7 linked regions of the Daphnia pulex genome follow. The main gene of each other region encodes a partner of the protein of the gene in region 4 in a complex. Links are inferred from orthologs where the notes say so. Each region holds a gene or a part of one and is shown on either strand. Other genes may lie near its edges. The genes, in order: 116 kDa U5 small nuclear ribonucleoprotein component-like, RING-type E3 ubiquitin-protein ligase PPIL2-like, pleiotropic regulator 1-like, BUD13 homolog, E3 ubiquitin-protein ligase RNF113A-like, pre-mRNA-splicing factor CWC22 homolog and smad nuclear interacting protein 1-like.

The links.
Region 1: BUD13 homolog (region 4) and 116 kDa U5 small nuclear ribonucleoprotein component-like share a complex: the UniProt entries of both Homo sapiens proteins name them as parts of the minor spliceosome. The link is inferred for Daphnia pulex from reciprocal best matches to the Homo sapiens genes BUD13 and EFTUD2.
Region 2: BUD13 homolog (region 4) and RING-type E3 ubiquitin-protein ligase PPIL2-like share a complex: the UniProt entries of both Homo sapiens proteins name them as parts of the minor spliceosome. The link is inferred for Daphnia pulex from reciprocal best matches to the Homo sapiens genes BUD13 and PPIL2.
Region 3: BUD13 homolog (region 4) and pleiotropic regulator 1-like share a complex: the UniProt entries of both Homo sapiens proteins name them as parts of the minor spliceosome. The link is inferred for Daphnia pulex from reciprocal best matches to the Homo sapiens genes BUD13 and PLRG1.
Region 5: BUD13 homolog (region 4) and E3 ubiquitin-protein ligase RNF113A-like share a complex: the UniProt entries of both Homo sapiens proteins name them as parts of the minor spliceosome. The link is inferred for Daphnia pulex from reciprocal best matches to the Homo sapiens genes BUD13 and RNF113A.
Region 6: BUD13 homolog (region 4) and pre-mRNA-splicing factor CWC22 homolog share a complex: the UniProt entries of both Homo sapiens proteins name them as parts of the minor spliceosome. The link is inferred for Daphnia pulex from reciprocal best matches to the Homo sapiens genes BUD13 and CWC22.
Region 7: BUD13 homolog (region 4) and smad nuclear interacting protein 1-like share a complex: the UniProt entries of both Homo sapiens proteins name them as parts of the minor spliceosome. The link is inferred for Daphnia pulex from reciprocal best matches to the Homo sapiens genes BUD13 and SNIP1.

Annotation. Positions count from the first base shown.
Region 1 is NC_060028.1:8,367,501-8,371,780, reverse strand, and holds the start of 116 kDa U5 small nuclear ribonucleoprotein component-like, read right to left. Parts: upstream 2,801-4,280; 5' UTR 2,581-2,800; coding exon 2,260-2,580; intron 2,192-2,259; coding exon 1,867-2,191; intron 1,795-1,866; coding exon 1,670-1,794; intron 1,599-1,669; coding exon 1,351-1,598; intron 1,288-1,350; coding exon 1,125-1,287; intron 1,054-1,124; coding exon 918-1,053; intron 846-917; coding exon 168-845; intron 98-167; coding exon 1-97. UniProt on the Homo sapiens protein: Required for pre-mRNA splicing as component of the spliceosome, including pre-catalytic, catalytic and post-catalytic spliceosomal complexes. Component of the U5 snRNP and the U4/U6-U5 tri-snRNP complex, a building block of the spliceosome.
Region 2 is NC_060022.1:781,495-785,789, forward strand, and holds RING-type E3 ubiquitin-protein ligase PPIL2-like, read left to right. Parts: upstream 1-1,495; 5' UTR 1,496-1,677; coding exon 1,678-1,709; intron 1,710-1,785; coding exon 1,786-2,005; intron 2,006-2,093; coding exon 2,094-2,403; intron 2,404-2,480; coding exon 2,481-2,626; intron 2,627-2,721; coding exon 2,722-2,845; intron 2,846-2,921; coding exon 2,922-3,070; intron 3,071-3,132; coding exon 3,133-3,284; intron 3,285-3,347; coding exon 3,348-3,537; intron 3,538-3,597; coding exon 3,598-3,740; intron 3,741-3,806; coding exon 3,807-3,903; 3' UTR 3,904-3,974; downstream 3,975-4,295. Other genes in the region: somatomedin-B and thrombospondin type-1 domain-containing protein-like, read left to right, coding at 203-332, 462-538, 639-853; eIF-2-alpha kinase activator GCN1-like, read left to right, coding at 4,138-4,152, 4,237-4,295. UniProt on the Homo sapiens protein: Has a ubiquitin-protein ligase activity acting as an E3 ubiquitin protein ligase or as an ubiquitin-ubiquitin ligase promoting elongation of ubiquitin chains on substrates.
Region 3 is NC_060021.1:1,388,871-1,392,811, reverse strand, and holds pleiotropic regulator 1-like, read left to right. Parts: upstream 1-1,293; 5' UTR 1,294-1,410; coding exon 1,411-1,419; intron 1,420-1,483; coding exon 1,484-1,590; intron 1,591-1,655; coding exon 1,656-1,798; intron 1,799-1,865; coding exon 1,866-1,985; intron 1,986-2,044; coding exon 2,045-2,229; intron 2,230-2,285; coding exon 2,286-2,435; intron 2,436-2,491; coding exon 2,492-2,686; intron 2,687-2,749; coding exon 2,750-2,868; intron 2,869-2,936; coding exon 2,937-3,138; intron 3,139-3,204; coding exon 3,205-3,396; 3' UTR 3,397-3,441; downstream 3,442-3,941. Other genes in the region: death-inducer obliterator 1-like, read right to left, coding at 1-347, 416-778, 836-959. UniProt on the Homo sapiens protein: Involved in pre-mRNA splicing as component of the spliceosome. Component of the PRP19-CDC5L complex that forms an integral part of the spliceosome and is required for activating pre-mRNA splicing.
Region 4 is NC_060019.1:12,606,623-12,609,942, forward strand, and holds BUD13 homolog, read left to right. Parts: upstream 1-1,136; 5' UTR 1,137-1,159; coding exon 1,160-1,272; intron 1,273-1,374; coding exon 1,375-2,767; 3' UTR 2,768-2,820; downstream 2,821-3,320. Other genes in the region: glutamate carboxypeptidase 2-like, read right to left, coding at 38-329, 406-526, 592-652. UniProt on the Homo sapiens protein: Involved in pre-mRNA splicing as component of the activated spliceosome. As a component of the minor spliceosome, involved in the splicing of U12-type introns in pre-mRNAs.
Region 5 is NC_060022.1:4,929,451-4,933,147, forward strand, and holds E3 ubiquitin-protein ligase RNF113A-like, read right to left. Parts: upstream 2,258-3,697; 5' UTR 2,034-2,257; coding exon 1,866-2,033; intron 1,795-1,865; coding exon 1,602-1,794; intron 1,546-1,601; coding exon 1,321-1,545; intron 1,238-1,320; coding exon 1,054-1,237; intron 989-1,053; coding exon 649-988; 3' UTR 501-648; downstream 1-500. Other genes in the region: protein unc-45 homolog B-like, read left to right, coding at 1-33, 111-279, 364-470. UniProt on the Homo sapiens protein: Required for pre-mRNA splicing as component of the spliceosome. As a component of the minor spliceosome, involved in the splicing of U12-type introns in pre-mRNAs. E3 ubiquitin-protein ligase that catalyzes the transfer of ubiquitin onto target proteins.
Region 6 is NC_060018.1:7,249,499-7,253,513, forward strand, and holds the start of pre-mRNA-splicing factor CWC22 homolog, read left to right. Parts: upstream 1-1,215; 5' UTR 1,216-1,344; exon of another isoform or gene 1,345-1,409; coding exon 1,410-1,567; intron 1,568-1,634; coding exon 1,635-2,139; intron 2,140-2,206; coding exon 2,207-2,335; intron 2,336-2,403; coding exon 2,404-2,749; intron 2,750-2,957; coding exon 2,958-3,397; intron 3,398-3,459; coding exon 3,460-3,740; intron 3,741-3,819; coding exon 3,820-3,921; intron 3,922-4,006; coding exon 4,007-4,015. Other genes in the region: ubiquitin carboxyl-terminal hydrolase 24-like, read right to left, coding at 58-294. UniProt on the Homo sapiens protein: Required for pre-mRNA splicing as component of the spliceosome. As a component of the minor spliceosome, involved in the splicing of U12-type introns in pre-mRNAs. Promotes exon-junction complex (EJC) assembly.
Region 7 is NC_060018.1:419,648-422,495, reverse strand, and holds smad nuclear interacting protein 1-like, read left to right. Parts: upstream 1-1,236; 5' UTR 1,237-1,292; coding exon 1,293-2,264; 3' UTR 2,265-2,348; downstream 2,349-2,848. Other genes in the region: sulfotransferase 1B1-like, read right to left, coding at 1-63, 389-632; biotin--protein ligase-like, read left to right, coding at 2,412-2,420, 2,483-2,628, 2,697-2,848. UniProt on the Homo sapiens protein: Required for pre-mRNA splicing as component of the spliceosome. As a component of the minor spliceosome, involved in the splicing of U12-type introns in pre-mRNAs. Down-regulates NF-kappa-B signaling by competing with RELA for CREBBP/EP300 binding.

The sequences.
Region 1 (4,280 bases), on a different chromosome or scaffold from region 4:
ATTGTGATTTTATTCTTTTTGTTTGGAGTTTCGGCAAAACATTTCAGTGAGGACGTTTCCACGACCGTTTCGCAAAAAGACACCACAGGATCAGCAACTACAAGAAAAACCAAAGTGAATTAGTTAAATTAGAAGAATTAACAGTTGGGAAGAAATGAATGGCAAACCTTTAATGTCGATTTCCGAGTACATTTTCCTGAGATCGTGCATGACACAGTCCAGGTAAAGTTCGCCTGTTCCAAGAATAACGTGCTCGCCCGACTCCTCCACTCGCGTCGAGAGCAACGGGTAAGATTTGTTAACCTTACGCAGACCGTCCAACATCTTGGGCAATTCGCTGGGATTCACCGGCTCAACGGCAATTTTGATGATGGATTGCGTGTTGAATTTCAAGGGTCGGCAAATGTACAAGTCCTCGTCGACGTGAACCTGGACGATGGTCGACGTCTTGACCACTGAGGCATCGATCCCTTCGATCAAGACCCAACTGCCTGCCGTTACTCTATTGACTTCGATCTTGTAACGGGCCTCGTATATCCAAAGTCGACCGATCGTCAACACACGTGAATCTTCTTCGTCATTGAGCGAATAGTTTTCACCCAGGAGTCGGACGTTCTGGTGAGCGTGAAGGGTCCCACTCAGGACACGACCCAGGACATAGAATCCAGTGCAGTCCTCTGTGGGATACTGTTTGGTAGTATGGACAACCAGTTGGCCGTTGGGATCACAGTTGACCATGTCTTCGCCCAGGATGGACTCCAGGGGACCTGTGTAAATGTGTTCCACTTTGGTGCGAGCAGCCGTTACGGGCGACGGGACGTGTTTGACGCACATTTCCACGAAACCTACACACACCAGTCAAACATTGACATTTAAAGACCGTTGCTTCAATTCAACATACATTTTAATTGACATACCGCTGAAAGTGCCCAGGTAGCGACTGCAGACCAGTCTCAACAAGGGGCGAGTGTTTAACCGCTGTTCCTCGACAGTCAGGCGAATGCCAAGTTCGTCCAGCAACTGCGGTAGACTCGAATCCAAATCTCCCACAACCTAAACAAGCAAAAAATATTGGAAATGAATCAACTGTTCAAATTAACTGCAAAGTTGTCCTTGGTACATGCCTGGGCAAAGATTTTGTACAACGGCTCTAAAATGAACTCGATGAAACTTCGCTGAGCCGAGCTATGTGGCGGCTTTTTGGTGAACTTTCTCGTCTTGCTGTTGAAGTAAATGTCACCCCACAGACGACGTGCTAACTCGTTGTCGTTGATATCGGATCCGTATCTAAAATGAAAGAAAATGAAGTTTCATTTAAGACCGTCATTGCCATTGTGGACGTGTGCGTACGTGTCACTGTAAAGTTTGGCGAAGGATTTAAGGGTGAAGCAAACGGAGAACTGGGCAGAAGCAAAGCAGACGTTGCCCAACAAGGGCGACACGAATTTTGGATTCTCTTCGTCGCTGTACAGGCCCAAAAGACCGTTGATCTCTTCAATGATGTAGCGCAACTTGTAATATGCGTCCTGAGGTGGCAGCTTGAGCTCCAAAATGAGTCGATCGATTTTGTTGATGCAAACTGTGATGGCCATTTTCTCCTATGAAAGGACAGGGTTAAAAAGAAATTCTTGGAATAACCAAGTTGAAGTTTTTTTTTTTTTTTAATTACCTGGACGGCGTGCTTCAAGATTCGTTCCGTGTTGAGCATGACACCCTCGACAGCGTCGACAAAGAGGACGATACCATCGCAAAGTCTCAGGGCAGCCGTGACTTCATCTGAGAAGTTGACGTGACCTTTAAGAAACATCAAAATCGATTAAATACATTTTTCCCCCCCATTTTGCAAGTTGGAAAACTGTAATTTACCAGGTGTGTCGAACATGTTGAGGAGGAAGGATTTTTCGTTCAGGTCGGGCATGACCACGGTAATGGGCGTCGCTTTGATGGAAACACCTCTCTCTTGTTCAGTAAAGAGTGTGTCTGTGTATCTGACAGGCTTCTCCTCTCCACTGCCAGGTTTTCCCGTCTGGAGATCTGGGTGTGTTTGCATGAGCAGACAATCCATGAAGGAAGTCTTGCCATGGTGCAAATGACCAACAAGGGCCACTGAACGAATAAGTTCTGCAGAGTCCATGAGATCAGCCAAAAACTCCATGTTATACGTGGTTTCAGGGAGTTCTTGCTCAGCAACCTAATGAAAATGGGTGGAAACAGGTTAATCAACAAAATGAAATATGGCAGCGAAACAATTTGTGGTACCTGAAACTTCCTTCGTTTGACAGGTGCGATGATGGGTTCAGTCAAGGGCTGAGCATCTTCTTCCTGCACCAGTGTCTCCACACCAGGTCCGTAAACCTCCAACGCTGATGGATAGTATTTTTTGTCTTCATGCAAAACAATGGCCATCTGTGCGTCGCCATCAACCACCGTTTGATCCATGGCCTCTTCGGAATCATTGTCACCATAGTCTTCGGCTTCGTCATCGTGATCAGCCTCGTCTCCTTCCTCATTTTCGTCTTCATCTGACTCGAGTTCGGGTCCAATGTAATTGCCGAATTCGTCGTAGAGATCGGCGTCCATTCTTGACAGTCAACTGAGTCGTTTGCTGTCTGTAAATTGGGCAGATACTTTGGATGTTGTCGATCGGTATTCGGCTTAACCCAACACTCACAGTTATAAAGCTGTTTCAAAAGGGAATTTCAGAAAAGCCGGGCCTTTCAAGAAAATGCGTTTACTATGCGTACAGATTTGCACGCGCTCAAAACGAGCGACACTAGCGACATCTAGCGGGTGCCAATGAAATCTGAATTTAAGAACAGCGCCATCTACCAGCTAGCAGGTGGATTATGAGTGGCAAAAAAAATGAAAATAAAATAAAATGAATAAAATAAATAAAAATAAAAATAAATAAATAAAAATAAAATAAAAGAGAAAAAAAAAATTCACAGCGTAATAAAATGCAAATGGGAATCCCGTTGAGGGCGGGGTTTTCCCTACCCGAATAAGGAAATGTTTCTGGCGCTGTTTTTTTGCTTGTGCACTGGAAACTGAAATCTAGTTGTGAATTTATATAGATGACGTGTCAGTCGCTATCAGGTCGGGTCCACGACGGAAAAAAACATTTTGTAGGAGAAACAAAGTCAGTCGAACACGGGCGATAATATCAATCAAAGCGGGCGAAATAAGGAGTAAAATGCCGTCATGTTTTTGAATTGAATAACGGAATAAATCTCAGCAGTCGTCTGATGTCTACGCACACAGTGCAGAATTTCAGTTTTGCCGGGCGATGGAAGCCCCCTGGATGGGCAAGTGCCCTTATATGATTTATTGCTGCCGACTCGTATGGAAAGATATATTAGACGTCTTTATCTGCAGACGAGTCTACAGACGAGCGACCCCGATTTATATATTCGCTTGTTGGTTTGTTGTTGCCAAAAGGAAATCACAAAAAAAAAACCCAAAAAATACTTGGGATGATATGGGCAGATCGACAAAATCAATGCCGGCCATTCGGTGATGTAGACCAGCCCAGCCCAGCCCAACTAGAGTTCTCCTTCTGTCCATGGGTTCTCGGTTGATGGTTCTTTTTTTTTTTTTTATTCGGGATATAATCACCGTTATCGGCGATGCTTCGAGTTGCTTGTTCTGTTTTTGTTGTTTGCAGCAATGTCATCCATTGTGTAGGCGGATAGAATGTACCCGGTTGAATGTCGCTGCACACATTTAGACTTGGCCAACAGCAGCAATCGACTTCCTCCTCCTTATTCCTCGTGCGTGAATTTTCCGTGGGGGTGTCCAATCAATAGCCCGACAGACTCTGACTGAGATTTTTTTTTTTTTTGGTTTGTTTTGTTTTTCTCTTTTTAAATTTCTATCCATCATCTTTTTTGTGTCTGCGGGGGGGTCACTATACTGTCCGGTGTGCATTGCCACGGCGGTGTAGTCTGTCGGGAGTCAAGGCTTAATGGATCGCAATGATTATTGGACGGCATTCATTACTACACAATACCCTTCGACATGGATGAAGCGATTGTAGTTCACTGGACTCCTGGACACATTAGACTTACGAAATGATTGATTGTTAATCAAGTCTCGTGGTGATGACGGAATGTTATTAGACCTCGACATTGGTCGAGCCAACAATCTCCACCCCAATTATAAAATTCGGCAACTCAGACATCGGTCGGGATTCATTTTGGCTAGACGCGAAAAAAAGACAAAAAGAAAACGTTTAGACATTGGCCGATTGGTGATGGAACAAACAACAACAACAACAGCGT
Region 2 (4,295 bases), on a different chromosome or scaffold from region 4:
TCCATCTTGTGGGTGTCAGACGGGCCGAGAATAATAAGGGGGAAATCATAATAAGTTTGGGTCAAGAATACAAATGAACCGGAAAATTCTGTCAATGGAGTATACCTGTCATATAATAGTTACCGCGGCTATTGTTCCAACATTTTCTTAACTAACATTTTAAACTTTTTTTGTTTTTTCTATTGTTGGACGTCACGGACAGAAATGGCTATGCTGTTACCGGCTTCGTTTGGTGCCAGCCGCCGGATGAACGACAGCCACGACATCCGCAAGAATCTGCGCTTCCGCAACGCTGAGCTCGCCCAGGAGCACCCGGAAGGTTCCACCAACGAGTGAGGATACATACCTATAAACAATCAAGCCACAAAATTTAAGAAATTTTCGACACCAATGATTGCTCTTCAATTGGACGTTGAAAATTGGCGCATACATGTTGCAATAACACTTCCGTCTTTATTCAGTTACTGCGTGACATTCGAGCTGACCAAAGTGTCCAAGGCCTGCCACAAAGAGAAAGTGTTCAACTCTCTTACTGACGGTAATTGACTTCCGGAATAATAATATCCGGATGGAAATATCATTTTTCAAAAATTGTGTTTTGATACATTTATTTTATTTTATTCCTTTTCGTGGTTTAGGCGGCGTCGTCTGTGTTCGATGTGAACACAAGGCTACTCGTGACTATTTGGGAGGCCGTTGCGGTGGTCACGGAGTGCCGGGTAGAATTACACGCTGGACATCGCTGACCAACGTCGAGTGCCATGGCAAATGGCTCAGACGTCCGGATGAATCTCACGAGGTTTCCAGCTCGACTTGTTCGTGCGACGAGGACGCTCTGTTAATTTTCGTTTAGGTCTCAACACAAGAGACGCAAACTATAAGGAAACGAACAAGGAAGAAGATCAATTTTAAACAAAATCTCCTTAAATTTGTTATGCTACCACATTAATTATTTCTATTTTTTTTTCTTTGTCTTTCGAATCATTCTTTTTTTTTACCTAAAATATTCGATCTGAGGGTGGTTTAATTAAAAAAAACGCGAATGAAACGAGCGAAAGCTAGAACAAAAAAATTAACTGTCGACCCACCCATCGAGTTTAATGCGAGTGTGAAAATACACAGAAAGGGAAATTTCCATAGAACCAATTTATTCACTTAATCTTTTGTTTGCTGTCAGCTGCCTAGTCTATAGTGGAGTCTAGCAATTATTATGCATTGTTGACTTTCATATCGCTTAGGCTTAGCCGTCTTCTTTGAATGGTTCCTCTTAATTATCTTATCTCGAATCATTTTGAGGCTTTTATGAAGGTCGATCCTGGCCCCCTAGTGGCTGAACGTCCAACGACCAATATTTCATCATTTAATTTGGCCAATGAAATTCTTGATGATGTGATCGTTGGATGTTATTTTTCGTACATAAAATTTTTTTTTAAATGGTAGAACAATTCAATAATCGTTATAAAAAGACAAAAAGTTTAAAAGTTTAAGTCGAGCGGTTGAAGCTTGAAGGGTAAGCAGACGACGTTCAAGACAGTGTGCCAAAACAACAAGTCGGTTTATTAGTCGTTTGGCGTTCTATTCCATAAACTGAAAAAAGTTTGCTCGATTTTAATTTGTGTATTTCACAGAGAACTTTGATACTGTTTTTCTTCATCAAAGCGTGAAAACTATCTGAAAATGGGAAAACGACAACACCAGAAAGATAAAATGCAAGTTCTAAGATATTTCAATTTGAATGATATGTTTAGTATGAAAACACTAACTAGTTTACTATCTTATATTTAGGTACTTGACAAGTACAGAGTGGAGCACATTGTATGGTGGGAAGAAGCCTGTTAATCCAAATAGTGCCAGTGCTTCATTTCGACGACTTCCATATGATCACTGTGCCTTGTCACTTCAGCTTTTTGAGAATCCTTTGTGTGACACTGAAGGAAATGTTTTCGACCTTCTTGCTATAGTTCCATACTTGAAAAAGTATAAAACTAATCCAGTAACAGGAAAAGTAAGTTTTGCTTATGGGTATTGCATGTTTGCTTCATCCGATAAACTTGAACTAGAAAGGCATGTTTATGAGAATTTAATTTTTCTAGCCATTGGAAAGCAAAGCCCTTCTGAGGTTAAATTATCATAAAAATGCTGAAGGGGCATACCATTGCCCTGTATTGTTCAAGCAGTTCACAGACAAATCCCACATTGTGGCCATCAGAACTACTGGAAATGTGTTCTCCTATGAGGCAGTAGAGCAACTCAATCTGAAGCCCAAAAACTGGAAAGAGTTGTTAACAGATGAAACATTTGCTCGTCAAGACATTATCACTCTTCAAGACCCATCTCACCTAGAAAAGTTTAACATCGCTAAATTTTATCATGTAACGCATGACCAAAAAATCGAAAATGAAGGTAATTTGTTGTCTTATTGATTATAGACTTAACAACGCCAATTGATTTGCTTTCATAAATATGATTCTCTCTACTAGAATTAATAAGGGCCAAAACCGATCCTGCAGCCCGTCTCAAATACATCAATGCAGAAACGAAGGGAGTTTTGGCAGAATTAGAACAGGAATACAAGGCACCTGAAGAGACTGTAACTGTAAAAGCAGTAGCTGATTCCATTAATGCGGTAATTTGATTCAGTTAAAGTTTTAAATTTATCCCTTTTATTTATTATTATTTTCGTTTTTATAACTTGTTTATAAAACAAAAAAAAACTATCAGGCTCATTATTCCACCGGGGCTGTCGCTGCTGGTTTTACTTCTACGGTGATGGCACCAGAAACTAAGCATGAACCAGCAATTCTCGATGAAAGTATCGTTCGATATCAGCGCATTAAGAAAAAAGGTTAAAGTAGTTTCTTGTAATGAATTCTTCACAAACCATCTAAATTTGTTTTTATTTCATCAATTTAATTTCTTAGGTTATGTTAGACTAGTTACAAATGTCGGGCCTCTTAATTTAGAGTTACATTGTGAAATGGTACCTAAAACGTGTGAAAATTTCGTCAACCTGTGCAAAAAAGGCTACTACAACAACACCAAGTTTCATCGGTCTATCAAGCATTTCATGGTACTGTAGATCTCAACGTGATCACGGGCTGTTACAGAGATTTCCTAACAAAAATTTTCCAGATTCAAGGTGGCGATCCCACTGGAACTGGTACCGGAGGAGAGTCTTGCTGGGGAGGATCATTTGAAGATGAATTTAAGCCGAATCTATCCCACACCGGTCGGGGTATTTTATCGATGGCGAACTCGGGAACCAACACTAATAAATCTCAGTTGTACGTTTAAATTATCTAGTTCTATGCATACATTACGCATCAATTTGATTATTACTCTTTCAGTTTTATCACCTATCGCTCGTGTAAACATCTGGACGGAAAGCACACAATATTCGGTCGTGTCGTGGGTGGAATGGAAACTTTGAGCGCTATGGAACGAATTGGTACTGACAATAAAGATCGACCCGTAGAAGAGATTATTATTGAGTCGTCACAGATATTTACAGACCCATATGCCGAAGTAGACGAAAAGGTTGCCGAGAAAATCAATTCAACCTTAGAAGCAAAATTTACTTTTGTTTTTACATTTTAGTTGGTGATTGAGAGAGCCGCAGCGCTAGAAGAAGCTGAGAGACAGTTGAAGGAAGCAAAGGCTTCCATCCCTAAAGCCCAGCTTAAGGTTTTCAAACAATCTGGTGTAGGAAAATACATCAACCCTAAAGCTTTCACCAACAAGTATATCTTTAATTTTCTATTAAATAAAATAGTTTCATTGCAGCTTATTATTATTTTTTTTTATAGACCAGCTGATTCGGCTGGAGAAGAATCCGGCAGTTCTCAACATAAAAAAGCTAAAACATCTGCTAACTATTCATTTGGTAATTTCAGTAATTGGTGACCTTCCCGGATATTGGATTATTCTTTGCTTACTTGTGGCTGATTTTTTAAAAATAAACTCTTTCTCGAACACTTGTTCTTATCAAATTGTATGTCATTTTTTTTACTCAATAATTCTGTAGCAATTAAAAATAAAAATCGAAAAAGGGGAAGGAAGGGTTCACAATTTTACTGACTTTTTTTTATATGCGACGGCAACGCAGCATTGTCCTCTCGTCTGCCAAAACGACACACGATGGATGACAAACCGGTAAGCAAACCACATTTATGATAAATAATAATTTGTTAAATTACGCGTTCAATAATCAATGTCTTTTGGTGATTTGTTTTCTAGTTAGCGAAAGCGCTGAAAGATTTACCCTTGAGGGTACAATCAGCCAGCTATCTCGAACG
Region 3 (3,941 bases), on a different chromosome or scaffold from region 4:
GAGAGTCTCCTCCGGTTCCGCCTCGGCTTCTTTCTTAGGCGTATTGACTTGTTGGATCTGATTCATCTCTTCCTTCTCCTTTTTGAGAAGTTCCTCATTTTCTGCTCGGATTTTCTTTAATTGCTCCATTTCTTGCCGGTCAATCTGGCGTTGGGAACGCCGCTTAGGTGAAGGTTGGCGCGTTGATCCACCACCACCACCTATACCCGTCGAAACGCTATCAGAACTATCAACTTCAGAACTCATCGCACTGTCGGCGTTTCTCGAGTTACTAATTGCCGGGCCATGCGCAGCTGAATAACAATGGTCAAGTGAGATGGACGCAACAGCCTCAGTGTCATCCGGAGCTGGATAGAAAAAACAATAATATAATCTAGATACACTTACTACTACTACACAAAGTTATTTGGCAAACCTCCTGTAAGTTCGGGATCAAGCAGGTCATCTAGACCAGCTTCTGGTGGGAGAATATTGTTGAAAAAAGCCCCAGCTTCTGCTTGTAATGCATGCTCAATTTTCTCGATCTCTTCCTGATCAAGAGCTAAGAGTGGATCTGTTGTTTCTAAAACTTGCTCACTAATTTTTGGCCCTGCTTTGACATTTCCATTAACTTGAGCAATTTCCTGGTCAGTTTCCATCAATTCTTCCTCGTTTTCCTTGAGTACAGGGCTAGAGACTGGGTTGAAATCTTCTTCTACAGTTATGTTGACATCAGTACTGCTGTCACCTGCAACATCATTGACTCTAACTACGCTTAGAGTTGTATTCTCTTGAGAGCCTGAAAATAAGGTAAATGAATAAAAACATGATTTCCCTCCAAAATGTGACGACTTACTAAGAAGTTGAAGTGTTTCCTGATCAACTGATATGTCACCAGTGTCATTATCAACAATAATGATTAGTGTGTTTCCAGCAGAGGAGCTATCGTCTGTGGTATCTGCCACAAAAGTACTCGACATGCTGTTGTCGAATTTGTAGCACACTTGTATCTAAATGTCAGTAAACGAGTAATCCAAAACGCGTCACTTATTGACCAGCTCGGAACGGCCCACTATCAAAGTTCAAACCAAAGCCACTAAAAACTTCACCCGATTCTATGGGCAACCACAAGCCCAAAACTTTTTTGTTGACAAACTTTGAAACTCCTGATTGCATCAAAATACACATAAACACCAAGCCGACTCATGGCTAGATGCCGCCATTTTGCGTTTTTTTTATATAAATCAATTTCAATGTGCCATGTTGCCGGCGACGCTTCCAATAGAAGCCATCTGGCGTGAATAATTACATCTTCTGTTAGTCACTAACAGATGGCGATTTGATCAGTACGTTAGACAACGCCGGCAACAATCGAGTACAAACCTCATGTAAATTTTGATTTGGTTTCGTTTTTACAATATAACAACAATCATGGGAGAGGTAAATTTTGCAATTAAAAAAATTATGAACAATTTCTAATTTACAAAATTTCATATCTCTACAGGATATTCAGAAGCATTCCGTGCATACGCTAGTGTTTCGATCACTGAAGAGAACCCACGACATGTTTCTGTCAGAAGAGGGTAGTCTACCTCCTCTTGATCAAAAAGCGTGTGTTGAAATAACTTTACATTGTTTCAACGTATTAAGTAACTCAATTCTATTTGATTATCTAGAGTGTCTGCCTGGCGATCATCAAAAGCTAAAGATACGTATGGTCCAATAGTTGAACTGGTCAGGAAACAACAAGAGATAGCGAAAAAAACAGGGCTTCCGGTAAATTACCCTGGAGGACAGCTTGCTCTAACTAACAAATCTGGTAATTTATTTTCCCCTATATTGATTGGAAATATGTATTTTTAAGTGGAATGTTTATTTTTTTACAGAACAAGATGGAGAGACCAGCCAAGCTTTGGCTCTTATGCCTTCAGGAACAATCGGGGGACATCAGATGCCACAATCTTCAGCAAATGTATCAACTGTTGGTATACCAGGCTATGCTGCAGGTGAGAAAAATATGCAGTCATTGTTTTCCCATCTATTTACTAAAAAAGAATCTTATTAGGTGGACCCACAAACAATACACAATCTTTAATAACCCGTAAAGCCCCAACAATGCCCAAGCCACAGTGGCATCCACCATGGAAACTTTGTCGTGTTATCAGTGGTCATATTGGTTGGGTACGCTGTGTAGCTGTTGATCCTACGAATGAATGGTTTTGCACAGGATCTGCTGACAGAGTTATTAAGGTAATTTATTCCTTACATTTATAAGAGTCAAGTTTTTCATTTTGAAATTCTTATAGATTTGGGATTTGGCCTCTGGACGGCTGAAACTTTCGCTTACAGGCCATGTCAGCACCGTCCGTGCTCTTCAAGTCAGCCCAAGACATCCGTACCTTTTCAGTGCTGGTGAAGATCGACAAGTGAAATGCTGGGATTTGGAGTACAACAAAGTAGCCATCACCATTTCAATTTACCGTGTAAGAAATATTAACAAAATCTTTTTCAGGTTATCCGGCACTACCACGGCCATTTGAGTGCCGTTTATAGTATGGCCCTTCATCCAACCATCGACGTTTTAGTAACTTGTGGTCGTGACTCTACTGCCCGTGTTTGGGACATGCGATCCAAAGCAAACATTCATACCCTAACTGGCCACACCAACACCGTAGCATCAGTTGTTTGTCAAGCAGCCGAACCTCAAGTATTCAAAGCAGTTTTCGACACTCATAATCCAGAATTTTAATTTTACCTTTCGAAACCATAGATTATTACTAGTAGTCATGACAGCACTATTCGATTATGGGATTTGGCGGCTGGCAGATCAATGGCTACTTTGACGAATCACAAGAAAAGTGTCCGGGCAGTGGCAATGCACCCTAACCTGTATGAAGCTAACCCATTATTTCACAACACATTGAATGTACAATTAATTTTAAAAAATTATGTTGCAGCTACATGTTTGCATCCGCCTCGCCGGATAATATCAAACAATGGAAGTGCCCCGAAGGCAAGTTTATTCAGAATCTTTCGGGCCACAATGCCATTCTTAATTGCCTTGCCATCAATGCTGACAACGTAATGGTATCGGGTGCTGATAACGGATCACTCCACTTCTGGGATTTCAAGACTGGATACAATTTCCAGCGCTCACAGGTATAAATGCATTTAGTTGAAACTGTGTTTTGAACGTTTCTTTAACTGTTCCTATTCAAATTTAAGGCCCCCGTGCAACCAGGCTCAATGGATAGTGAAGCTGGAGTATTTGCCATGGCCTTTGACCACAGTGGTTCACGTCTCATAACGGCCGAAGCAGATAAAACTATCAAAATCTACAAAGAGGACGACGAAGCTAATGAAGAGACACACCCCATCAACTGGAAGCCCGACTTATTAAAACGGCGTCGTTATTAACTCGCCATCTCCTGTACCGTACAATACAACTTGATTTTTAAACGATTTGTTGGCGCAAACTTGTATTATTACTTCAGTAATGTGCTGAGTTATTATGCGCTTATGGATTATTTATATTATGGATAGCTCGGGAATCCCAAGCTATCCCGAGTCGGGATAGCTTTAGCTTGTCAATTATATAATCACTGATTTCAGCGTGAATGTTTTAGGCAATCAAATAGTGATGAGGTTCTTAGCAATTTAGAATACCTACTTGAGAATAATTTAGGGTCACTCCTTGTTTGTGATAACGTATTAGCTTTCAACAAGCAGCCAAATGCCACACGTAAAGAACGAGTACATAAAAATCTTCTGGTTTTCAATTCATCCCAAAATGTAGTTAGAAAAAATATTGTTAAAAAATGTTAAGACTAGTCAAAGAAAACCTTTTGCTTCGTTGCATAACATTTAATTATTTAATTTACAAAGCTCACGTTTTCACGCGGTCTTAAATTTTGAAACACTGTATTTTGGCGGGAAAAATGGAAGGGAAACCGAGAACCCTG
Region 4 (3,320 bases):
TGTCATCAATAAAACAACGATAGAAATTTAATTTCACCTCGACAGTTCCGTTAGCTGAATAAGCGTTAAAATTGGGTTGAACTAACGGAGAGAATTCTTCGCTGGAAAAGAGTGGCGTCTGACGTCCTGAGGTGGTGAAGTTCACCTTGCCGTTGGAGTCGAGTAGCGAGACCTGATTGGGGTTGCTCATGTCTGGGTAGGAAAGCAGCACCTTGTAAGGAACCAATTGGACTTCGTCTAATCCTCCCTCGACGAAACGATCGCGCACCCAACTAGCCACTTCCAAATCCTGTGGAGTTCCAGCTAAATTCGGTATACTGCTCAAATATCTGTGACAATCATTTTGGGAGTTAATTAGACAATGAATCAAATTTGTCTTTTGATTAGCGATGATGTTGGACTTACTTGAGATATTCGCCAATATTTGATGCACTGAGCTCCTCCATCAAAGTGGCAGACATTTTCGCCTTCTGAGGCGACACGTCGTCCCTATCATTTCCGATAGCGTAACGACCGATGAGAATTCCTTTGTCAGGTGGAAAGATGAAGTCAAACCAACACATACAGTAACATTTCAAATGATTACGATACCTATGATAAGACAAATTACAGAAGCCGTGCAAATTAAAATCCAGTTGGGTTTTTGCGCCATCGTTTCGCTGCGATCACTTCTCCACACCCTTCCGTTCTCGTTTACTGTACCTCAAATAATAACGACGGTTTGAAAAGAAACAGGTTATTAAATAGCTGAAAATATGACAATGAAAGCACGGGAAGTGCGGGTAGAAAGTCGGGTTCGAGATTGCGTGTTCCATATGCAGCGGCACGCAAATACCTGGACAGTAACTAAGGTGATTTGACAAGCCAACCAGACCATCGGTTGCTTGTGGTTTAACACAAGACAGGTCGCATGCTTAACTGACGGGTGACTCTTGTAAAAAATGTAAACGCCATAGGCAATGAATACATTTCTTTAAAATCGCTATTACATAAATCTATTTTTTTTAAACAATTTTTTTTATTTTGAAAACTTCCCGATAGATGGTGTATAGTTTCACGCGTTAACCATAGGTGGAGCTTGTATTCATATTTCGTGTGAAAGCGTTGACAAACGCGAGGGATTACGGTTTGTAAATATTCCCCTGAAATTATTGTAAAAATGAGTGCTCCTATGAGCAAATTAGAATATCTGAAAAAGTACATGTCCTCTTCGAAAAAAGAAGAAAATAAAGTCAAGAAAAAGAAACTCAGGCCCTTACTGAAAGCCAAAGGGTAAGTCAGGCTTTTTGTGAACTTTAGACAATACACATCATTTTTTAATTTTAACTTAAGCTTTTTCTTAATCTAGTCAATTTGTTTTCATTTACTTATTAGGGGCATCAAGATCGTTGATGAAGAAATAGATTTGAGGAAGATAGCTGCAGGATACGAGAAAGATGAAGACCAAATTGACAACCAAGAAGATGCTCCTCTGGTGGCTGGGGTTGTCGATAATCGTTCCATAGAAATGATAACCAAACAAGACTTTGTGGAAAGTTCAAAGTGGAAGAGACTTGGTGTGGATGAAAATGACAAACCAAAATCCATGTCTAAATCAAGTGATCGAGATATTGATTCAAGTGACAGTCACTTACCAAGGAAAGATTCCACTGCCTTGAAACGACCAATCACAGTGAAGAAAGAAAGACATGATTCAGATTCAGATCCCAGTCCTCCACGTAGAAGACACGATTCTGATTCAGATGCCAGCCCACCTAGAAGAAAGCGCCATGATTCAGACTCTGATCCATCTCCACTTAGAAGAACGAGAAAAGACTCTGATCAAAGCCCACCACGAAAACGTCACGATTCAGACTCAGATGCTAGTCCTCCTCGAAGAACAAGGAAAGACTCGGATCAAAGCCCACAACGAAAGCGACACGATTCAGACTCGGACCAAAGTCCATTAAGAAGGCGTAAAGGCTCCGATTCCGACCAGAGTCCACCAAGAAAGCATCAAAATGCTGACGGTGATCTCAGTCCTCCGCGGCGGAAGAAAAACGTTGATTCCGGTGCCCAAATGCGCATCAAACCAGATCCAGACGGAGACCTCAGCCCTGAGCGTCCTAATAAATCAACATCACGCAGCGGAGGAGCTTCGGAGAAACTGACCAAAACCCTAGATGGAAAGATGGCCGGCCTTCAGACTGGCAGAGCTTTGCGTGAGGAGACTGATGCATTACGCAAGAGAGAAGAGGAAGCCTTCCGCAAAATGGACAAATCACTCACTGGGCAGAACGCCACGACTGCCATCCGAGCTGGCAAGCTGCGCCAAATTGAAGCCAAGCAACAGGTTGATAAAGAAAAAGCCGAGAAGATTGCCAAGCTGCAAGAAGCTTACCAAAAATGGAACAAGGGTCTTAAACAAGGAGAAACGCATTCGACGCAAGTTGCCGAAGCCATTCACGAAATGTCCAAACCGCTGGCTCGTTTCGCCGATGACGAAGATTTGGAAAGGTTGTTACGCGAACAAGATCGTGAAGGTGATCCCATGGCTGCTTACATGGCCAAGAAAAAGGTCAAGAGCGGTGGTGACGGCAAGGGGAAAGCCGCTAGACCTGTCTACAGGGGCCCTGCTGCTGCTCCCAATCGTTTCGGTATACTACCCGGCTACAGATGGGACGGGGTTGACCGCTCGACTGGCTACGAGAAGATGTACTTTGAAAAACAAAACAACGCCGTGGCCCTTCAGGAGGAAGCCTACAAATGGAGTGTATCCGACATGTGATTCCGATGATGAATTTACCTTGACTGAATAAAGCCATGCAATTACTTTTAGTAGCCAATGACGCCTGTCCTTGTTCTTAACATTTCCCTTTTTATTACCTCGACGGAATGGGGCCCATCCATCAACATTCAAAATTGCAGGGTTTTTTTCAGATTCAACGAGAGGCGCGCGGAGGAAATTCCATGCGGATGGCGTCAACACTTTGCACATTTTCCGAGTCGCGACTCTACCAGCAGTTCGTGAAAGTTGCCCAACCCATGTTGTAGAGGAGGTGCGGCTATTCATGAATCGTCCGTCGTGGTTGAATCGGAAAATTCTATCCGGAAGATGACACCCTTTCCGGCCTTGGCTGCCTTCAAATCATTTTTCTTCTGTTGTTCAGCAGCAGAAAAAGAAAAGAAAGAAAAGGCGTTGGGGTCGTTTCTGTTGAGTGTGTCGAGTGCGCTATGGCCAGATGGCGCTTTGGCTGAGTGTGTCGAAAGAGAAGGGAGGAAGGTCACGGCACGAAGTGGGCCGGCCGTTTTCAGGTGTGCCCTGTTGTCCGTGTTGTCTA
Region 5 (3,697 bases), on a different chromosome or scaffold from region 4:
GTCAGTAAACGGGCTTCACGGAAAGTTTTCGAGGTTTGCCTCCATTCTTTTTAACTTTTTCCCTGGAATTGATTTTAACTTTTTTTTTCTCTTGTTAAATTTGTCAATAGGCGACAGAGTGGAAAGAAATCCTTTGCTTCCTACTGAGCAATACGGACAAAGACGTGCAATATCGAGGAGCTGTTATCGTCAAAAACATCGCCAGTCATTCGAAAGAGTTGGCCGAAAAGTTGTTGCAACCTGAGGTTATTATGGTCCTGGAAGTTCTCACCAAATTCGGTAAAGAGGATTAAGTTAAAACTTTTGACATGGTGCCTTGAACTAATCTTTTTTGTAACCCATTTGAATCCGCTCTGCACACAGAAACACCTGAAATGGCCAAAATTTGCGACTGCGCCAAATCAACCCTGGAAATCGCCGAGCAATGGAAACTGATCGAGAAGGAGGACGACTCTGAAGATGAGTCTTGATAAATTTTAATGAAATGATTTAAACAAAAATTAAATTGTGTGCCTATGCAAATTCACTCGTTAAAGTTAAATACACTTTATACGTCAATTGAAAGCATTATTTAAAAAAGAAGGAATTACAAAATAATGTATTCTTACACGTGAATGGTAGGGGGAAAAAATAAAGATGATCTTATCCTCAATCGCTGTCATCATCTGAATCCGTATCGTTGGCCACGACTCCTTCGTCTGCGTAGTGAATGTGCTCAATCTCCGTAACGGGCTCCTCCACATCTGCTGTTGCTCCCGTAGGTTTACCAGTAGTGCTGCCAGACGGCTGCATAATCAATTCCAAGTTGTTGAGCTCCTCGTCGCTGTCTGCTTCCTTGTAAGTTTTGCCTTCTTCCTCCAACTTGAGCCGCTCGATGAGGCTCTTTGCCGGGTTAAAGACACCAAAAGTTTGTTTGCCGCAAACAAAACACCGCTGCGATTTGCGGTAATGTTTCAAGGCGCAGGCCTCGCAGAAATAATGCTTACACCTGCCGTGTCAAAATTTGCGTTAAATTCTCCTTCTTATAAATGAATAGGAGAGAGTCTTTATTACTTGGAGACAACGGGATGTTGGAACGACTCGCGACAGATGAAACACTTGAAGGGCAAATCTTCGTCGTCCGAGTGTATTTCATACTTTGAGTCGTCTTCGGCCGGCTCACCTTTTCCCCTTTCTTCTCGCTCCAACTGCCATCCGAATTTATAATCGGAACGGTCGTGCAAGAACTTACAACTGTCTAATAAAACACAGCAAAGCTTTATAAAAGTTCAACTGAATGATGATAATAACCCCAAAAACTTTTGGTTAGATTTTGAATACCTCCGAAACCGCAGAAACCCGTTTCCTTGTAATCTTTACAAAGATCTGGTTGGTAATCCCATCTCACTGTTGACCTGATGTTGGCTGGGGCTCGCATGGGGCCTTTTCTCACATTGGCAGATGCAGCATTTCCTTGGGCTGTATCTCTTTTCTCGTAGTACTGGGCATAGTTAGCAAGGCCACGATATTTCTTGTCATCTGCTTTGCCTTTCAGCTCCTGCTGGACTGTCAAAGAAACAAAACATTATTTTGGTTCATTTTAAATAAAAAAGTTGACCTACTTTGTAAAGATTTCTCAAAAATTGTCCTGGCATCTTGATCGACGGCAGTGTCGATCTGAACTGTGGAAGTGGCAAGATCGTCTTTCTTGTTCTCAGCACTTCTGTCAGACTGGAAGACGACTGTGACCTTTTCCTTGACTTCCTCATCAGAGCTGTTTTGGATTTCTTGACGGGACTTTTTCGTGGATTTGAACTGTCAACCCCAAAAGAAAAAAACACGATGAGAAACACAAATTCTTTTTGCAGAGACTTTCAATAACTCACAGTTTTAGCCGAAAGAAGTCCAGCCGATTCCTTTTTCCCCACTCGAGCAACAACAGTTTCATCTTCGCTGCTGCTTTTCTTGTCATCATCAGCTTTTCTCCTCATGGCGGCTCCTCCTCCTCTTCGTTTCTTGAATGTAAACGTGCAAACTTTATTGTCGTCGGCCATTTTTGTTTGTTTGTGGATTTTCTTGTTGGATCAAGCTTTCCTTTTTTGTATATAAAAATGTATTTTGACTTGTCAACAAACGAGAACAATAAAATAAAAATCCTTCCGTCTTCTCGTCGTCGGCTTTTCAAAAGGATTACCGGTGCACTGTTGTCTGATTCCTCTAATTGGGTTCTTGATGACTGATTGAATACGCAGCAAGGGATCTGCTGCAGATTTACATATATATGCACAGCAACAGAGACTAGTACATAGAGAACTATGCACACACACACACACAAAAGCTTTTATTATTGTGATCCAGATTTGTCATCTACGATGTCGGTATTAATGATCCGACCCCGAAAACCCGCTTGAGACTTTGAATATATCTTAACGTCATCCGTTTCTACTACTACTACTACGGGTTTTGCTATTTTGCATTTGTTTTGGAAAAATAAAATCGACATATCTTATTGCTTTACATCATTATTATTAGGCATCGTCGTCATTTCTTATGGTCTTCTTCTAATCATTTCCATATGCCTTGGTGATTTATTTTCCTTGTGCAAATGAAATGGATGGGGGGAAGAATCACGTTACTTAAAAATCTCTGGCGACTCGATTACACACAGGCAGTACAAAAAGGAGCATCCTTTCATTAATTAGTAGGTTCCCCTCTAATAATCTGGTGGCGTGTATATATGTATAGATGTGCTCGGCGCATCACAGAGTCTGAGGACCTTCTTCTTTCTTCTCCTCGAAATAATAATACGCACTATATACGCTTCTGCTGGCGATCAATTAGAAAAGACTGCCGAAGCTTTTAAGAACCTTTTCGCCACATATGACTGAATAATAATTCTATTTTCTTAATTCCCCTACCCAATTTTTATTAATTTTTTTTTTCTGGGTGGGGCGGCGGCCACTGAACTGTTATCTCCTCTTCGTTCGTCTACTTTTTTCTTTTTGCTGGTTTTTGGGGGCTTGTTCTCCGCGGGCCTCTTTCGTCTTTGCCCGATGTCGCGCTTATTATTTCTATATCATCAGCAGACTGCTAGCTGCTGGGGGCCGTTCGCTTGATGATTCCCTTACAGCGCCTTAATTAGCCCAGCACTTTTCATCAAGTTGAAATAATAAGGAACGCGCAGGCCAGAAAACCCGGCCGCAAAAGTGCACGAAGCGCTTCACCGTCCGATGAAAAGCTACTTGATCTCCATCCTCCGACTCCATTTATACACCTATACTGCACTACAATATCTATACCTATTCATTTAAAACAAAAAATATTTTTATTTCGCCGTACCGTATAAGTAATTTTTCGGTCAAACTTGTCGCTGACTGAAAAGCCCATCTAGCCAAACTTTGACTTCCTCCTCCAGCAGGATTGGCACATTGACTTATTGCAGCACAGTTTTGCAGATATACCGTTTCGTTCTATGCAAAGAGGGGAGGAGGCTATAAATAGGGACTCAATGATAGATACATGTTATGCATAAAGCGAGGGCCTATTTATACAGAAGCTGAATGATCCAGACAAGATATATAATATCCACATGCTACACTACTATACACGTATAAAAGGGGCTTTTGAGAGAAGGGCCAGCACGGCAGCAGGATCAATCCTTTACACAGCACACACAAGTTACGCGCGCGTTCTAATGGGGCTGCTGCCCTTTTATGAA
Region 6 (4,015 bases), on a different chromosome or scaffold from region 4:
AAAATGTAAGTGTTGAAAAATGCTTTACATTGACATAATAGATGAAATAGGCTTTACTTCAGACACGGAAGCATCTTCGCTGGATCCTTTGGAAACACCAGCTACCTCTTTCATGTCAACATCGATGTTTAAGTCAGCAACAGGTCCATAAGATGACACTGACTGATCATTGGTGAGGATAGCAACTGCTTCATTTAGATCATTCTTGGCTAAACGTAAAGCTCGTTTGATTTCTCCGATGTCCGGAAATCCCATGGCCATTAACGTGCTGATATTTTCGTCTTCGACGTCCATGACGTCTTCTCTCCGGCGTTTTAAAATTTTTATTGTTTATCTGAAGAGGAAACAAATACAAAATTAGAACATATCACGATGCACGATGAGTGTATCCCAAGCACTCTGCGCATTTTTTTTTTTGTTTTTTTGTTATCTTACTACGATCACAAGAGGCACGAACTCCTTCGCGGAGCTTTTTGAAATTCTTCTATACACATAGGATAAACTGCATGGAGGAGTGGCAAACAAATGTTAGCGGTAGGCAGGCCCCTTGTCAAATGCGCCCTCCCTATTAAACCGTGGGCGCTGACATCTTTGACATGTTGCCAGCTCATTCATTCCTCTAAACAGTGGTTTCAGACGGATTCGACTTTTAGAAAAAATGCTTAATGATTTTTTACCACATAATTTCAATTGAAAGTATGAAATCTCTTTAACAAATCTTCGTGGCTGCCTGTTTTTATTGTTTCATAGCGGTTAGTAATACCTATTTTAAAACTAGGAACTCGCAGGACTAGCGAAAACATGCGAAAATATTTCAAAAATTGAAATAATTATTCTTTTAACGATCCTTTATAACTCTGATTTCACCAGTAACTATTTTAAAAATTCTACACGAAATACGAAGACCTGAGAAGGCTCAGCGCTTAACGCTGCCACAAAGCTGATAAACAATTTAAACAAGTTATCGAAAAAGTCCAAAAAGTATTTGATGGTTGCTCGCTGCTCGGGGCAGAATATTTATTCAATTATTCCTTTTCCAATAAATTTTAAACAAATTTTCATTAATGAGGAAGTGGTTGATTACAAGAAGATTCTTAATTCTTATTTTTTGTCACGTTTGTCTCTTTGCCTGCCTTTGCGATAAACCCGATAAGGCATAAGGCGACAAGCCGACAACCAATGAAATCGAACAAGCTGCCCAAACGCAGGTGGCGCATTAGTGGTAGAATTGTAAGCAAACGGCAATACCGCAATATGGCAATAGGCATTAAGCCAAGGAAGCAAACGTAAAAAAGCAGTTGTTTCTCAGCGTGTTGCGATTGCAATTTTCTATTCATCCAAACAGTATAACATCTGTTAAGTGATATTTTCAAATTAATTTCCCTTCATCTGTCACAATAATCCTTCAGATGGAAAGTGTCGTCAAAGCTGTTGGTTTACCCGTAAATTTCTTAGAAGAAGTCGACGATGATTTGGAAGATGAACGAGACGAAAAAGCTCCAGCAAAGCCCGATAGCAATATTCGGAAACGACGGTATAGTTCAGAGGAGGAATACAGAAGAGAAAGGTAGACAACTGTACCAAAAGTGTTACAAGTAACAAATTAATTTACTTCATATTCATTTTTTTATCAGGAAAAAAAACTATGAAATAGGCACACGCTATTGGGGAGATGAAGGCCCTAGAGATAACTACACACAACATTCAAGAGAACAAGATCAACATTCAAGAAAAAGAGAAAATCAATTGAAAAAGGATGACAGAAAAACTAGTGAACAAGGTCCTTTAAATGAAGAGGATACTAAAGAGCCTAAGAGAGTTAAAGAAATGGATCCAGTGCTGACACGAACCGGAGGAGCTTACATTCCTCCTGCCAAGTTAAGAATGATGCAAGCCCAAATAACTGACAAGTCAAGCTTAGCTTTTCAGCGTTTATCTTGGGAGGCTCTCAAAAAATCCATTCATGGATTAATCAATAAAGTCAATGTGTCAAATATCCCATTGATTATAACATCCTTGTTCAAAGAAAATATTGTTAGGGGACGTGGTCTTCTAACTAGGTCCATCATTCAGGCACAAGCTGCATCACCAACATTTACACATGTCTATGCAGCCCTTGCTGCATTAATCAATTCCAAAGTATAAACGTGATTTATATTAATTCATGTATTTAATTTAATTCACATCACATTTGTTGATGTTTCAGTTTCCTAACATAGGTGAACTGCTATTATCTCGCCTTATTCTTCAATTTCGCCGTGGGTTTCGTCGAAATGACAAACAAATATGTATGAGTTCGACAAGATTCATAGCACATCTGGTGAACCAACAAGTGGTAATATTGAAATTTTGCTCTCATGTTTTGTTTTTCAAATGCACTGAAAATTTTTCTTGGTATTTTAGGCACATGAGCTTTTGGCTCTAGAAATTTTAACTCTTCTGTTAGAAAATGCAACTGATGATTCAGTTGAAGTCGCGGTTGGATTTTTGAAAGAATGTGGTCAAAAGTTAGGTGAAGTCTCCCCTCGAGGATTAACTGCTGTCTTCGATCGCCTCCGTCATGTTTTACACGAAGCTGACTTAGACAAACGCGTGAAGTACATGATTGAAGTAATGTTTCAAGTACGAAAGGATGGCTTTAAGGACAACCCTGCTATCGTGGAAGATTTGGATTTGGTGGAAGAAGAAGATCAATTCACTCATTTGATGTCGATACAAGAAGAAGAATTGGATCCCCAGGATATGTTGAGTAATAAGTTGCTATTAATGGATTTAAAAAATATCTGTATTCCTCAATCTACCAAGTTAGTTTACTGGGCTTAAATTTTTATTTATTTTTAAAATAATCTTTGACTGTAATGAGCCCCAAGTTCCGTGCTTTTCTTAAACTGTTAATAGTAGATTTTATATGTCTATCTCCACTTTGATACCACTAACTGTTTCGCGTATTTTTGTAGATGTTTTCAAGCACGACCCGGATTATGAAGCCAACGAAGAAAAGTACCAAGCTGTCAAAACAGAAATTATTGGAGATAATTCGGGCGAATCAGACGGTTCTGGAGAAGAAAATGATGAATCTGATGGAGATAGTGCTTCGGAGGAGGAAGCAAAAGGTAAGAATAGCATATACTTTTACTTGGGTCGATTCAATTTGTATGTTTTTAATTTTGTTTTTTTAGAACAAGGCGATATTGTTGACGAGACGGAGACAAACCTTATTGCTCTTCGACGCGTTATTTACCTTACTATTCAGAGCAGTTTAGATCACAATGAATGTGCCCATAAAATGATGAAAATGCAAATGAAACCTGGACAAGAAACTGAGTTATGCCATATGATCTTGGATTGCTGCACCCAACAAAGGACGTATGAAAAATTTTTCGGCCTTTTAGCCCAGGTACGATTTCTTATTAAATAAAAAACTATTCAAGTATATCAATTTTCTTTTCGGTGTATTAGAGATTTTGCCAGATTAATAAGGCATACATACCACCATTCGAGCAAATATTTCATGATACATACGACACAATTCATCGGCTGGATACTAACAAGCTTCGCAATGTAGCCAAAATGTTTGCCCATTTACTTTTCACAGATGCCATCAGTTGGCAAGTGATGGCTAACATTCGACTAACTGAAGAAGATACTACAAGCTCTTCGAGAATATTTCTTAAAATTTTATTTCAAGAAATGGCAGAGTACATGGGTCTCAGCAAGCTAAATCTTCGCCTCAAAGACCCGTCAGTGCACCAACTATTTTTTAAACATCTTGTTTGGTTATACGTCACCAATTTAATTTTTTTAATATTTTCGTTTTAGGACTTTGCAACCGTATTTTGAAGGAGTTTTCCCTCGCGATGATCCTCGCAACACTCGATTTGCCATTAATTTCTTTACTTCCATCGGTCTAGGAGGGTTGACGTAAGTTTTTCTATCTCGTTGATAGATTCTTTAAGATTAATTAATAATTTTGTGTTGCGTTGGATGGGACGTTTCAATTATGTAGAGACGAACT
Region 7 (2,848 bases), on a different chromosome or scaffold from region 4:
TAGATCCAATTGGATCACAATTGTTGAGAATCATCCACACTAATTCCTGTGTCCACGTCGTTCCTAAGTAAACAAATTCAAAGTTATCAATTTTATATGTGCGGGAGAATACGAAAAGTTAACACTTTCAAGATCCGAGAGATTTGTATTTGTTTGTTTCAAACTATGTGTTTTAAAATAGGCGGGGAGAAATACAAGGTTGCCATTTGGCTACTAGACTTTCAAGGCTACGGCCAAAAAAATTGATGACAAAGAAATAAATTGTGACGTAATAGCAGTAATTGCTAAACAAATACCACTAGGATATTTATTTTTACGAATTATTATTTTATAAAAATGTAGCTATTACATAAAAAAAATCTTAAAAATGATTGAAAAAGGATTTTACCGCATTTTGGAAAGGTTACTACCCAAACGTCGTCGCTTCTTGGTTGAAAACGTGAAATTTCTTTGGCATGGCGTGCATACTCATCCGTTAAGAGAAAACCACCAGGTTCGCTCTTCATCAGTCCATGCTGCTCGTAGTTTGTGAAGTGTTCTTTCAAGTCTCCATTCACTTCTACAGGATTGAATTTTATGTTCCACTCTGGAACAACTTCGGGAGGAACTGAAGGATTTTCGGGGTTTGTCATCGTGCGAGAGCTCAGACAACAAATGAAAACGCAACGGCAAAAAGGATCGAACAAAGACCGCGACGACTGAATGACACCGTGGCCTCCTTTTTTATACTCAACAGCGACTCAGCGAGTGCCACATCAAATTTTAACGATTTGGTTTTCGTCGTTAAATCAAATGCAAAATTATTAAATCCACGTAAATATGTATTACAATATCAGATATTTGATAATATTTATTTAAATATTTTACAACGACCCAACGAGCAAAAGAAAAATATACTTCTCTAACAACATAATTTTGATTTCGAAAATGTTATGCTGTAATCGATTACAAAAATTCTCAATTTGGCATACATAAGCATTACTCAATTTCTAAAACATTACATAAAAAAATGAGAATATAAATACATTAAAGAGCAGGCAGTGAGGCAGCAGAGAGCAGGTCCGCGGACGGCGGACCGCTAGCGGCTAGCCGTTTACAGGTGGTGGATGAAAGTAAATCTGGCAACGGTTACGAGTTGCGACACCATTTCATGTTGACAAGCCGAGAAACGAGTTGTATCAAACTGAAACTGAAACATTGAATTGATCTCGTTTTTTTGAGAAATACGCCAGAAACATTAAGGTAATTAGAGAGTACTTGTGCATATCTTGTTTTATTTCGTTTGGATCGCCATGGTAAAGCACAACGAAGACGAGAGGAGTCCCAAAAGGTCCCACGAACGAGGCCATGAAAGAGGCAAGACTCACAGACGTCGTGAAGAACGTGACTCTTCCCCACCACGAAAATCTTCACGAAGCGACCATTACCATTCAAGAAGTGATGACTATGAAAGAAGTCGGAAATCAGACAGCAGGAGACATGATTCACAAGTTTCACACAAAGAAAGTAATCGAAGAAATGACCCACCAATTCCAGTTAAAATCAAGAAAGAACCAGTTAGTGATGATGAACAAAGTTTCAGACGTCCACAACACAATGAAGGGCCTTCAAGACGGCATGAGCAACCACATTCAGAAGATCGACCACCAAGACCTTTTAAGCAGAGACGCAAAAGCCCCCGAAGTGAAGATGCTGAAGCAGCCAACTACCAGTATGGCCAACAAGTTAAAGATGAAGAAGAAGAAGGAACACTCGTTGAAAAGCAAAAACCCAACTTTGGTCTATCAGGAAAATTGACTGAAGAGAAGAATGTTTTCAATGGTGTGGTGGTCAAATACAGTGAACCACCTGAAGCCAGAATTCCCAAGCGACGGTGGCGTTTTTACGTCTTTAAAGGGGAAGAGGCATTGCCTACGTTGTACCTTCACCGTCAAAGCGCCTACTTAATCGGAAGAGATCGTAAAGTTGCTGATATTCCAATCGACCATCCCTCTTGCTCGAAACAGCACGCTGCGATCCAATTTCGGTTGGTAAACTACGAACGGCCTGATGGAACTGCAGGACGTACTGTCCGGCCATATATTATTGATCTGGAAGCAGCCAATGGTACTTTTGTAAATAATCAAAAAATTGAATCCAAACGTTACGTCGAATTGTTCGAGAAGGATGTGGTGAAGTTTGGCTTCAGTTCCCGCGAATATGTTCTCCTTCATGAAGAAAGCAAAACAGATGCTAGTTTGGACGATATGGGAGTGGGGCAGTGACACGTTGGTGACCAGCAATGTTTTGTATCATAACAATTTTCTTTTTTGAACGCCGCAATACACTTAATGTTTCTGCGAAAGGTATTCAATCGTCTTTAAGTGTTCTTTCATTTCATTTCCAGGTTTCACACATCAGTGGGGCTGTTCATGTTATTCGTAAGTTGTCACGTTAATTCAAATTTATAACTAAAGCAATTTTTACAACCAGTTGGTAACAGGTAACCAAAATTGCTGGTGTCATGAGACCTGTGGAACGACTGCTGGCCTCCTCAGCAAGACCGCCCAACATTCTAATATGTACGAGTGACAAAGAAGTTTTTCAGCAATATCGAGCCCTCTTTGAATCCACACTAGAGCCGGATTGGTATATAAACAGTATAGACATTTGATATCTGGATTCTTGATCTTAAACAATGTAACATTGATTGACAGTTATGCCCTTTACCATCTCGATGAACTCTCATTTCGTTCTAAAAAAGCTTGGCTAAGCAACACAAGCCTCCTAGTACTTGCTTCTCGATGGTCTGATAATGACTTGCACGATCCGCTGGAAGAGTACATCAAGAAGGGTGGTCAATGTCTTT